Schizosaccharomyces pombe: one gene and its partners. Changing the gene in region 3 together with the main gene of any one other region gives a genetic interaction. Each region holds a gene or a part of one and is shown on either strand. Other genes may lie near its edges.

Region 1 (3,600 bases), on a different chromosome or scaffold from region 3:
TTTTGGGTCAAGATGAGTTTGCAAAGGGATCTGTTCGTATTAAACAAATGGGTTTAAAAGAAAATAGCGATGAAGGTCAGCTTGTGCCACGTGAGGAAATGGTATCAGTTTTGAAAAAGTTACTTAAATACGATTAAATATTCCTATAGCTCAATAATAATTATTGTATTATTTGATTGTTATCTCATCAATATTGTAAGTATTAAATAAAGATATTAAAATCGTATTTTCTGCAATCAAAAAGAGCGGTAATCTAAAAAGTAAGTTCTGTTATTAACTTAGAAAATGCTGTTTTCCGGAGGAATATATTGTCGTAATTGAACTCCTGCGGCTTGAAGGAGAGAAGCGGTATGGGAGTCCATGTTGTAAGACGTATGATAGACAACTGAGCATTAGTAAAAGATTAAAGAACTGAAACATACCTTCTTTAATCCCAAGCTGAGTAATCTTGACAGAACACGTAAGACAGGGACATCTTTCGACTGTTAGTAGCTTTATGTCTATATTTACATACGTATCACAGTATAATATTGCATTGTTTCCAACGCGTTCACGGCCAGCCTCTAAAAGAGCGTTTTCTTCGGCATGAAGACAAAGACAGGTATCAAGTTCTTTTCCACAGGAAGAAGCAGAATTGCAACGTGGACATCCGCCTTCATTACAGTTAGTGGCTCCTCTAGGTGTTCCATTGTAGCCTGTCGCAATAACACGATTTCCTCGCACAAGTACGCAACCGACGCGACGTTTCATACAATTGCTACGCTTCGCAGCCAGACTTGCCATTTCCATAAAGTACGAATCCCATGATGGGCGAAATCTATTGGGATTCAAAAGATCGGCTTTTTGAAGCTTCTCCCATAGATGAAGTTTAATATTGCTATCATTATTTATAAGTAAATTAGCCAATGCTCGGTGTCGAGTTCCAGCATTATCAGATTGAAATGCAGCCGCGTCTTGGATACTACAAAATTCTTCAAGTGTGGTATTCGCAAGAGAAGAATAACTATATGTCATCATTATTATTTCACGCAATATTCAGTTAATCATGAGGAGCTTATGTAACCGTGTAATTTCGAGCATGAAATGAATGAAACTAACAAGATATTAAGGTCCTTACACTGAACACATTGCGTGAAGAATAATGACAATGAATTTAAAGTTAGCAACAACATGTTGACATTGCAATATTACATACGTTTTGTAGCGATTGAACCTGAGCATAATTGGGGCATCAATATATACAAGCAAAAAGAACGGACGTTTGAGCAATGCACTTAACAAACGTGGACTATGAATTCCATTAATTACAAATCTTTCGCGCCATCTTGGAGTGAGATAGCTAATAAGATCGTCAACGCTGCCAAGGACTAAATCGCCAGTTCTATATATATATTCTCCATCCTCGTTTAGTTGTGGTAATCGAAAAATAGCATTGAAACCATGCTTTGTCTCAAGGTATTCAACAACGGCATCTTTTCCACTACATAATGGCCCTGTAAGACCAACAGTTGGCATATTTATTTGCTTAATAAATCAAACAAAGCTACTTAAGCTTAAGAAACGTATTTCAGTTTGATTATCTCCCCAAATAGTTAGAGATAGATCGGTTTTAACGTACTCACATACCTAATGATACTAACTATCAATACCAACAACGAGTTGCGAAAATGCTAACTTTCAATTTCGTAAAACTATGCTTCTATAATCTGTAATCTTTTTAAAAAATAAAATATATATTTAATGAGATTAAAAACTATTTGCTTCCAAATCTTCACGAATCCTTGAATATTTCAGATTTTACGTTTCACTGTACTGGACCAAGAATCTAAAAAATCCTTTTAGTGAATTCGAATAAAGTCGTTTTTGGTTTTAAGTGTATTGACCTCTCTTTTGCTGGTCACGCTAAAGTTTAGAGCACTCAAAAGTTGTACTTAAGTGCTGTGTACTTCAACAGCAACAACAATAAGATCATTAACTGTATATTGTTAAGGAGAAACTCGGAACAAACGCATTCAACTAACAATGAAACCATTTTTATCTAATTAATGTTCATCACATCAAATTTGATAATGAGCGCATTTCATGTAAACTCATGTGAAACGATGGAATCTGTCGAATAATATTTTTTATGTGCGAATATTCAGAATTCTTCTAAAAGTCCAGTAATTACATACTAATCGTTCGTAAAATTATGTTTACGGTTAGATTACTATTGCATCGTAGGCCTAGCATTAATTGTCAAGTCAGCAATTCAACAATGATATTTATATGTGGCACATATTCTTTTTCTCAACATCCTATTTAATGATATTGGAAAATTTTTTTGTTTTCGGGAAATTAAAACACTACAGAACTCAACTGGACTGAGGAAGAGGTTGAGTTATGAGCAGCTTCAGTAGTAAGTTAGAAGGTTAACTTCACGTACCAACTTAATTAATAATCGAGCTCACAGCAACATAAGTGATGATTGTTGGTGATTTAACGTATCATTAAAGCTAATTACAGACTACATAATAAGCATTAAGCCATTAACGTGTACTAGGTAATACTCACGACCGTACTGTAGAGCTCGGTAAGATCGTAATTTTGTCAAGTTTCCTGAGGTTTAATAACCCTTTGGTTGCAAATTATTGTTAATCACGATCTTGTAACTCCTATAATTATTGAAGTCAGTTTGCAAAGAATTTAGAATTTAAATCACCAAATAATTTGGGCATGAGATGAGTTTCAATCCTGCAGCTGGACTGCTGGGAAAATTAAAGAAATTATGGAATGATACAAAAAACGATTATTTGGAATGGGAGCGAAGCCAACAAGGTCAAATTAGTGAGTCAGTGGTTAAGAATCACTCACCCTCAAAGCGAAAGCGACGGCCATCGAAGGAGCCTTCCCTATCACCTAAGCGAAGAAAAAATATTTTAAATGATCAAAAAAAAGATGAAGAGTCAATACCTAATGCTGGTACACAATCACAAAATTTTACTCACTTAAGTGCATCTAAAATTCGTATCTCAGATGAGGATCGAATTAAGCCATTGGTAGATTTAAATCAAGATCACTCTTTTGACATGGCATACTTAACACCTGCAAGCGCTCCCCCTCCGCGATTTCGATTTGTACCTCCAAAATCTGACGCGAAATCTCATTCGGCTCCTAGATCGCTAGAAGGTGTTACTAGCTTATCTGATTCTCATTTCAATTCCCTTGAAGCAAACTTAAAAGCGATTTCGAAAGATAGCAACAATAAAGCGCACAATAATCGTTATGATGAGTCTTCGCTTACGAACCCTGAATTTTCCATCCTTGTTGAGCGTTTAAAAAGTATTGAAGAAAATTTACAAAGCCTGCAGGAAAGGATTTCTCATTGTGAGCGTTCAGTTAGTCTTAGCCCATCTTTTGCTCCACCATCTAACGTTAAAAGTCCAGTCCAACAGCACCGGTCTTTTGTTTCAAGTTCAGCAAGAGCAAAAAAGAATTGGGGGAGACAGTCGAATAGTCCGAATAGTAATAAAAAAACCGATCATGCATACCCAGGAGCTTCAATGAACACTGAAAGGGGTTTAATTCAAAACTTAGAAGATTCAGATGATATCCATGAAG
Region 2 (3,837 bases), on a different chromosome or scaffold from region 3:
TTATGTGTTGTAGTTAACGCACATTAACGCATTGTGGTTCATTAATGTATGGAGTATTTAATACTTCTAATAAAAAAAAGAATCGATTCTTCTATGCTTTGAGGAAACATATTTATTTATGATATTTAAAATTAAAAGATGTATTGATAATTGATTTCGACTTCTCTTAGACTTACATAGTTGGTTGTGAATAGTGTAAACAAAACTAAAAACAGTAGATTAGGATTAAAGGTTGTACTAACATTAACAGTTTTTCTATATGAATAAAACTCCTGATAATAGCTTGCATGAGAATTGAAGGGACTTCGTGAACACATGTTTTAATACTATCGAAAATGAATAGTAACTTATTTCTTTCCAAAAAAGGACATAATAGACTTTTGTTGTGGTTTACTTTGTGCAGTATTCTTCTTCTTAGTTGCAATGTTTACAGTAGTCGGTTTGTTTCTAACAACATTTGAAGTACCAGTTGAGATGTTTTCATCTTCAGAAAATGATTCCCAGACTTCTTCTTCCTTAGTAACCAAGAATCCTTCTTCATCTTTCGTTGTCGCGTACTTTTTAACTTTTCTTTTCCCACGTCTCTTTCCACCGGATACGGATTTGATAATTTCCTGAGGTTCGTCAGGTGCAGCAGATTTTGCTTCGGTACCAATTTCCAATTGGAAATTATTAGAATCTAAATTATCATCTTCAGAATCGTGAACGCTAGTGGTAGATACTGATTCATCTTCTAGCTGCATAATATTTTTCAGATCATCGCGCTCTCTCTTTGCTTGCTCAGACAACTTCTCCTCCTTTGGCAAGAGAGGCTCCTTTTCTTTATGATTTTCAAGAGGAGCTTTTTTATTTTTACGAGATGAGTTTCCCTTTTGGTTCCTTGCATTACTGAAAATATCTTTCCCTTTAGTCTTTTCTGTACTACGTGTGTCAGTCTTATCGATTGTCGATGTCTTTGAGGGAACAGATAATTGGGGGGAATGAGTTGAAGGTGCCTTTTTCAAAACACGAGGCTACAATAAGTTAGTCTTCCGAAGACGGAAGGATCGAATGTCAAACAACGATTGTTGTGATATAAATTACTTACCACGGAATTTTCATTGAAAATAAATCCATACTTATCAGCATCTTCTTTTTTGTATAAAACATCTTTCTCTCTTATTTCATATACTGCAGGTAATAATTCGTCAAAATCCTTAATTAAATCAATTAGTTTGTAACAATATAAAATACAGCTTATCGAATACTTACACTTAATGGAGCAGATGAAAGAGCAAATATAACAGTTTTATACCCACTTTTCAATCTACTTTGTTTCTCTACAAATAGTTAGCGAATCTGCTATCGAATGATCGGAATTGACAATAACAAACCTTGTAGAGAAGACTTATCACACAAAATGTATTGCAAAACAGGAAAATTAGATATAGGTTGAGATTCCTCGTCAATTTCCAAATTAATTTCATCATCTATAGGTTGTCCATGAATAAGGTATATAGGATACAAAAAATCGTTGCCTTGATAAAACATATTAAGATATCTGAAAGTATGAATTATTAATAATAAAAATAAAAAATAATGCGTATTGTTCCTTACTCTTGTGCTTTTTCACTGGATATATCCAATTGCAGACTTAAATTATCTACAGTTACCTTTTATACAGTTAGACATTCAAATTCTTGTTGAAATTTCATATCTTACAAGTGAAGATTCATTGATAACTTTAATATCTAAGAAGTTTCTCCATTCCTCCATTTTTTTAGAAATTTCTTTTTCCGCTAAGTATTCCTTAGGAAAGTGGTATTTACGAGAATAAGAAGCAGTGTGTAAAATCAACGAAATTGAAAATTAGTGGGAACAATCCTAAGGTAGGCTAAGTACTGAAGCCAGCGCAGACGAAATATGTATGAAAGATTACATTTTCATTAATGGAGTATACATGCTTAACTACATTTACAATATGTAAAATATTTAAAATCTAAATATTGACATCGCATGTTCAATTACTGCTGCTATCCAGTTCATAGAAGTATGCTAATGAAAGATTTAAAATTGAATGGGAAGTTACTTCATCAACGCTGACAGAAATTGATTTAGTAATTTACGGCATTTTTTAGTAGAATGTTTTTCAAATTTTATTAATTTTGAACATGGCAATTTGATTTTTTTTCTCTACTAATTTCCTTCTGCTTTTAAGCTGATAGCGTAAGGTTGAGTTTCACAAAGTTGTTGGAATGTTTTATATTTAATCAAACTTGATTCTCCCTTATTTCTATTTTCGGGTATAATGATTTGTAGCACATTAATGTAGTCATCTGACAAATCTCTTATAATATTATTTCTCAGTATCGCTCTATGCTCCATAGAAATGATCAGAGTATATACATATTCCCAGCTGTATTCAATAATGAATTAAATTTAATAACAGTCAAATAATGCTACAATTCTTTATCCCATATGCCTTCATTTTAGATAATTGACATCAGGATACCGTAGGTATTGCTTATTCTTACTTATCATGGTGTTGGTCGCTTCAGCAAATACTTCCAATATAGATAATCAATTCTTTAAACTCTCATGAAAAGTTTAGTAAACCTTTGGGGAATCTATCCATTCATTAGAAATAATTCTCTCCATGGTTTTGCCAAAATACCTAGAATAGTCAGCACTATCCCCAGACAACTCCGCTTCTCATCTCTACGACATCCTACTAGACAAATGGACTTGATACATGACACTGTCGTAGTTGAAAATCTTAACACATTTGCTGTAGTGGGTCAAGACCAATGGAAAAGAAAGGAACCTCAGCCAGTGCAAATTGATGTATATATGAGAAACAATGTTCAGTTAGCTGGAGAAAAAGACGAGTTAAAATCAACGATTCATTACGGTATAGCTTCTAAGCTATTACGAAAAGAAATTGAAGGGTCTTTTTTTACAACCCCTAAAGATTTGGTCAATAAAATTGCAAGTTTATGTTTTGAAGACGTTATTGATACCTCGCATGTTTCTATTAAGCTTACTTTACCCAAATGTGTTTTAAGGTCTAAAAATGGATTGCACTATTATGCTGAGCGCGAACGCAATTCTACCAGTAACTTTGTAGATCGTATTGAATTCTCGGATTTGGAGTTAGCTACGATATTAGGAATTCACGCATTTGAACGACAAGAGAAGCAAAGAGTTTGCTTAAATATATCATTTGCAAATACGGAGGTCGAAGCTTTAGAGATCGCGCGCGCAATCGCCGAATATGTCGAACAATCTGCTTTCCTGACTATAGAAGCTTTGGTTGTCAATCTTTCAAAGTATCTTTGTTTTACAAAGAATCTAGACGATATAAGCATTAAAGCTGAGAAACCTAGTGCTATCACATTCGCCAATGCTTCTGCGGTGCAAATTTATCGAACACGGTCGTACTTTTTACAAGAGTCTCTGCATAAATACGAATCCACTAAGAACAAAATTGCTTATTTGTCTTTTGGTTCAAATATTGGTGACAAATTTGAGCAAATCCAAACAGCATTATCTATGTTGCATAAAATAGAGGGTATTCGTGTGTTGGATGTTTCCCCTTTGTACGAAACAGAGCCGATGTATTATAAAGACCAACCTTCTTTTTTGAACGGTGTTTGCAAAATTGAAACCAGAATGTCGCCTATCAATCTTTTAAGAGCTTGTCAATCCATTGAACAAGAAATGGGTCGAATCAAAACAATTTTAAAAGGACCAAGGTGTATAGATCTCGATATTGTCTTGTACGAAGATTGTGTTTATGAATCAGAAGTTTTGACTATTCCCCATTTAGGGCTGCAAGAACGTGAGTTTGTTTTACGT
Region 3 (3,837 bases):
CAACTCAATACATTTTGCTTGTGACGAAGATGCAAAAGGAATAGACGCAGTAAGCCTGTGAATTAGTAATTGGAAAAAATTAAGGCATGAAGGTTCATTGCTAATTGATTAAAGCCGACAAACTTACATCACATATAAAACACATCCCAAACTCCATATATCAACTTTATCATCATAACCTCCGTCCAAGTTGACGTTTTTTGACTTCAAAACTTCCGGTGCTAGATAACCCATTGTCCCGCAAAATGTTTCTAAAAAGGTTCCCGTCCCATGAATAACTTTAGCCAAGCCAAAATCAGATATTTTAAGATGGAAATCATTTGTTATAAGAATGTTCTACAAGTTAGACTTTCTTATCAATAAACAAGATATACCTCGGGTTTTATGTCTCTATGTGTCACACCCTGCTTGTGCAAATGTAAAAGCGTTTCTAAAAGTTGTTTGAGAAGAGGTTTACAGTCTTGTTCGTCGATGGAGCCATTAGCAATTAAAAAATCCATAAGATCCCCACCCTCAACATATTCCATAACAATAAATAACTCGTCATCATTTTCAAAAATTTCATGGCATTGTACAACTCCTGGCTAAAAGATAAGTGTTAGCTAGGAGTTTTTCGTATAAAAAAAGGTGAACATAAAATGATACTCACATGGTGCAAAGATTTTAATATATCAATTTCTCGTTGAAACATTTCAGTAGCTCGCTTTTCCGAACTTGTCAAAAGGATTTTTCGTTTGTTGATAATTTTAATAGCATACCACTTGCCACTATTCACTTCTACCGCTAGCTTGACAACTGCAAATGTACCACTTCCAAGTGTACGAATAATTTCGTAATGACTGTTCTCGGATTTAATCATGTTTTTCTGGGAATCTCGTGAATGTTTAACTGGTACCTGGCACAAAAAAGCTATAAGACTGTAAGCAAACTTGAAGTGAATTCTACGTCAACAATCTCCTTCAGTGTAAAGGACGTACAAATTTCATCTTTCGGCACACCTAGGCCAATTCGAATTTCATCTCCGTTTGACAAGATAGTTCTACTATTCTTGGCAAGCCGTTCCTAAATGACGTCAGTAAATTGTAAACGAATTAAGCTCTCGCTTACAAAATTCAGAAATGTTCCATTAGAAGAGTGGTCTGAAATTGTTAGAAAAGGTGGAAGAGGCAGAAGACTTTAAAAGATTTTTTAATCCTTTAGACTTACCGTGTAAAAAAACGACATTCTCAGATTCATCGGAATCATTTCTATGCCCCTGGGTCATTTCGTTAGATAATTATGTCTTAAAGAGATTGAAGTTCAATTAAAACTAAACGAGTTCAGCTGGCCACTATTATTTTATATACCTGATAGATTTCAAAATGAAAGTTGCTAACTCTAGGTCCGTTTAAAACCACTTCACAAGATTTATGACGTCCAAATCTCCAAAACCCATTGTGCACATCTGTAGTAAGAGGAATCACTTCTGTCTTACCATCAAGCATGCGAGTCATAACCAATTTCATAAATACATTTTCGTTGTTAACCACCTGTTTGGCTATGTTCTGACTAACATGTAGTGGTGCCTCTTGAGTAGCCTGCGTAGCTTCTTCTGGTTCTTCCATAGTATCTTAAAAACAGAAAAACTGGATGAATTCTTTAACCATGTATATCAGTAAACACAAATAAACGTGCAAATGAGTGATCAAGCTTTTAACAGAAGTAAAAAGACCAAAGAAGCAGTTATCATGTCAGACGAGGGCTTATGATTTACTGACTTCGCTTTAAACATCGTTATAAATTTTACGATATAAAATGTATCATAAGACAATAATAACGAACTGTTGCAATACCAGATTTTTCGCGAAGCACGAGTAATATAAACAATGTTTCATCCACCTACTTTACTGTACGTTATACGTAGTGAGGATTAAATGTTAATTGTTAAGTAGTAGTAATCCCTATTTATATTTTTTTGGTATACGTGAAGGTTGCCATCTGTCAACATTCCTTTGTATTTCAAACTTCGACTTCCGCGATTGAAGACTTTGTTCTACGGCATTAAATAGTTTTCTGATCTCCTTAATTGTTACCATTATTCAAAAATCTTCTATACCAAAGCAAGGAATAAGAAATATAATGCTGATTCTTGGTTTAACCGGCTCAATTGCCACGGGTAAGTTATCAAATAACAATTGGTTTAATAGTGGTTAACCTAGTTAAGGGAAATCTACAGTTTCTCGCGAGTTTCAAGAGAAATATCATATAAAAATTATCGATGCTGATGTGTTAGCTAGAAAGGTGGTAGAACCGAATACACCTTGCTTAATAAAAATTCAGAAAGAGTTCGGTAATGAAGTATTACATGAAGATGGCACTTTGAATCGAGCAAAGCTTGGCCAGGCAGTATTTCAAGACGCAGGAAAGAGGTCACTTTTGAATTCAATAATACATCCAGCAGTACGTTTGGAAATGCTCAAAGAACTGCTTCGATGTTACGTACGGGGTTACAGCATAGTTATTTTGGACGTTCCTTTGCTTTTTGAAGCTAAAATGCAATTTATTTGCTGGAAAACGATCTGCGTGTCTTGCGATAAAAGCATTCAAAAGCAACGTTTGCTGGCACGTAATCCTGAGCTTACTGCAGAGGATGCTGAAAACCGAGTACAAGCGCAGATGCCTCTTGAACTTAAGTGTCAGCTTGCGGACATTGTAATAGAAAATAATTCGGATCTTGAGACCTTATATGAAAACATACATAATGTCCTACCTTTAATCACACCTTCCTATTTTTTTACCTTACTATGTTTAATTCTACCGCCATTGCAAATAACTTTACAAGTTATTGCCTTTGTCTCGCAGAAGAAAAAGGTATCTGAATTCAGAAAACATATATAATCCTTTTTTCCATATTCTTTAATTTCCTCGTTTGTTATTTAAGCCAATAGTCTTAATGTTTTTGCTTATAATTAGATCATTTTCATAACTTATCTCAATATCTTGCCTCGAGCTTTCTATATAAATTCACGAGTATATGTTTTATCATGATTTGAAATGAGAAATTAAATCTTTTCATGCGCATACAAATAGCTGAACACTACAATAATGATTAATGTAGAGGTTCTCGCTTAGATTTCTGGGTTTTAAATAAGAAATCGATTGCGTTCCTTCTTTCATTGTCTGTATACTTGGGTATTGAACTTGTATTAATCAATCTTTGCTACAATGCGTGACTTATATTTATGTCAAAGAATAATTAAATTTTTTTTGTTAGTTTCGTTGGGTTAGCTAATTTTTTGATTGATATATTTGTTCACGTATTTACAATTTACATGTTCGCATCCACCATCACTTGAACACCTTGTCAGTAAGTGTTCAGTAGCCAATTTTCTGGCAAAATGGAATCTGGATCTATTGATTTGGATAAGGGTGAGTCAATTTAGTCATTACAATTATGCTAACTCCATGTAGAGATAGATGAATTGAGCAGGGTTTTATTAGAGCATCCTGCTCATGTGGAAAAAGTTTTAAAGACCGTTGAGTTCGATAAATCTGCCCTTCGTTATATTGATGCAATTTTAGATCATCATTTGAAGCAGATATATCGGAATTTGACATCCAATTCTCCTTTGCATACGCTTTCTCTACTTCAAAAAATGGCATCTTGGAATAATGGATTGGCATGTGTTCGTGTATTCCAAGCTATTGACTGGAACAGTAAAATTTTTATAAAGATGCTCCAGCTACCTAATCAAATTCAAAATTCTAGGAAAGGAAATAAGCGTCTCAAAATCACTATATCAAAAAAGCGGTCCTCTTTACTACTTCTTTTCATTACATTCCTTAGGCTTGGTACAC

The links.
Region 1: mutations in cds1 (region 3) and dcd1 are lethal when combined (synthetic lethality), as found in Schizosaccharomyces pombe (2 studies listed by BioGRID, with this or other methods).
Region 2: mutations in cds1 (region 3) and cdc27 impair growth when combined (synthetic growth defect), as found in Schizosaccharomyces pombe (3 studies listed by BioGRID, with this or other methods).

The regions. Positions count from the first base shown.
Region 1 is NC_003423.3:3,458,720-3,462,319, forward strand, and holds the start of dcd1 (deoxycytidylate deaminase), read right to left. Parts: upstream 1,601-3,600; 5' UTR 1,516-1,600; coding exon 1,196-1,515; exon of another isoform or gene 1,048-1,195; intron 1,004-1,047; coding exon 515-1,003; intron 476-514; coding exon 423-475; intron 386-422; coding exon 279-385; 3' UTR 138-278; coding exon of another isoform or gene 1-137. Other genes in the region: histidine--tRNA (His) ligase Hrs1, read left to right, coding at 1-137; protein Csi1, read left to right, coding at 2,721-3,600.
Region 2 is NC_003423.3:1,061,623-1,065,459, forward strand, and holds cdc27 (DNA polymerase delta subunit Cdc27), read right to left. Parts: upstream 1,803-3,837; 5' UTR 1,756-1,802; coding exon 1,702-1,755; intron 1,653-1,701; coding exon 1,597-1,652; intron 1,541-1,596; coding exon 1,374-1,540; exon of another isoform or gene 1,320-1,373; coding exon 1,252-1,319; exon of another isoform or gene 1,196-1,251; coding exon 1,088-1,195; exon of another isoform or gene 1,014-1,087; coding exon 348-1,013; 3' UTR 96-347; downstream 1-95. Other genes in the region: fol1 (dihydropteroate synthase), read left to right, coding at 2,578-3,837.
Region 3 is NC_003421.2:739,627-743,463, forward strand, and holds the start of cds1 (replication checkpoint kinase cds1), read right to left. Parts: upstream 1,713-3,837; 5' UTR 1,605-1,712; coding exon 1,347-1,604; exon of another isoform or gene 1,256-1,346; coding exon 1,207-1,255; exon of another isoform or gene 1,140-1,206; coding exon 1,108-1,139; exon of another isoform or gene 1,063-1,107; coding exon 978-1,062; exon of another isoform or gene 910-977; coding exon 650-909; intron 585-649; coding exon 375-584; intron 337-374; coding exon 128-336; exon of another isoform or gene 56-127; coding exon 1-55. Other genes in the region: cab5 (dephospho-CoA kinase), read left to right, coding at 2,119-2,155, 2,204-2,877; ribosome biogenesis protein Urb1, read left to right, coding at 3,378-3,408, 3,451-3,837. UniProt on the Schizosaccharomyces pombe protein: Has a role in the DNA replication-monitoring S/G2 checkpoint system. It is responsible for blocking mitosis in the S phase.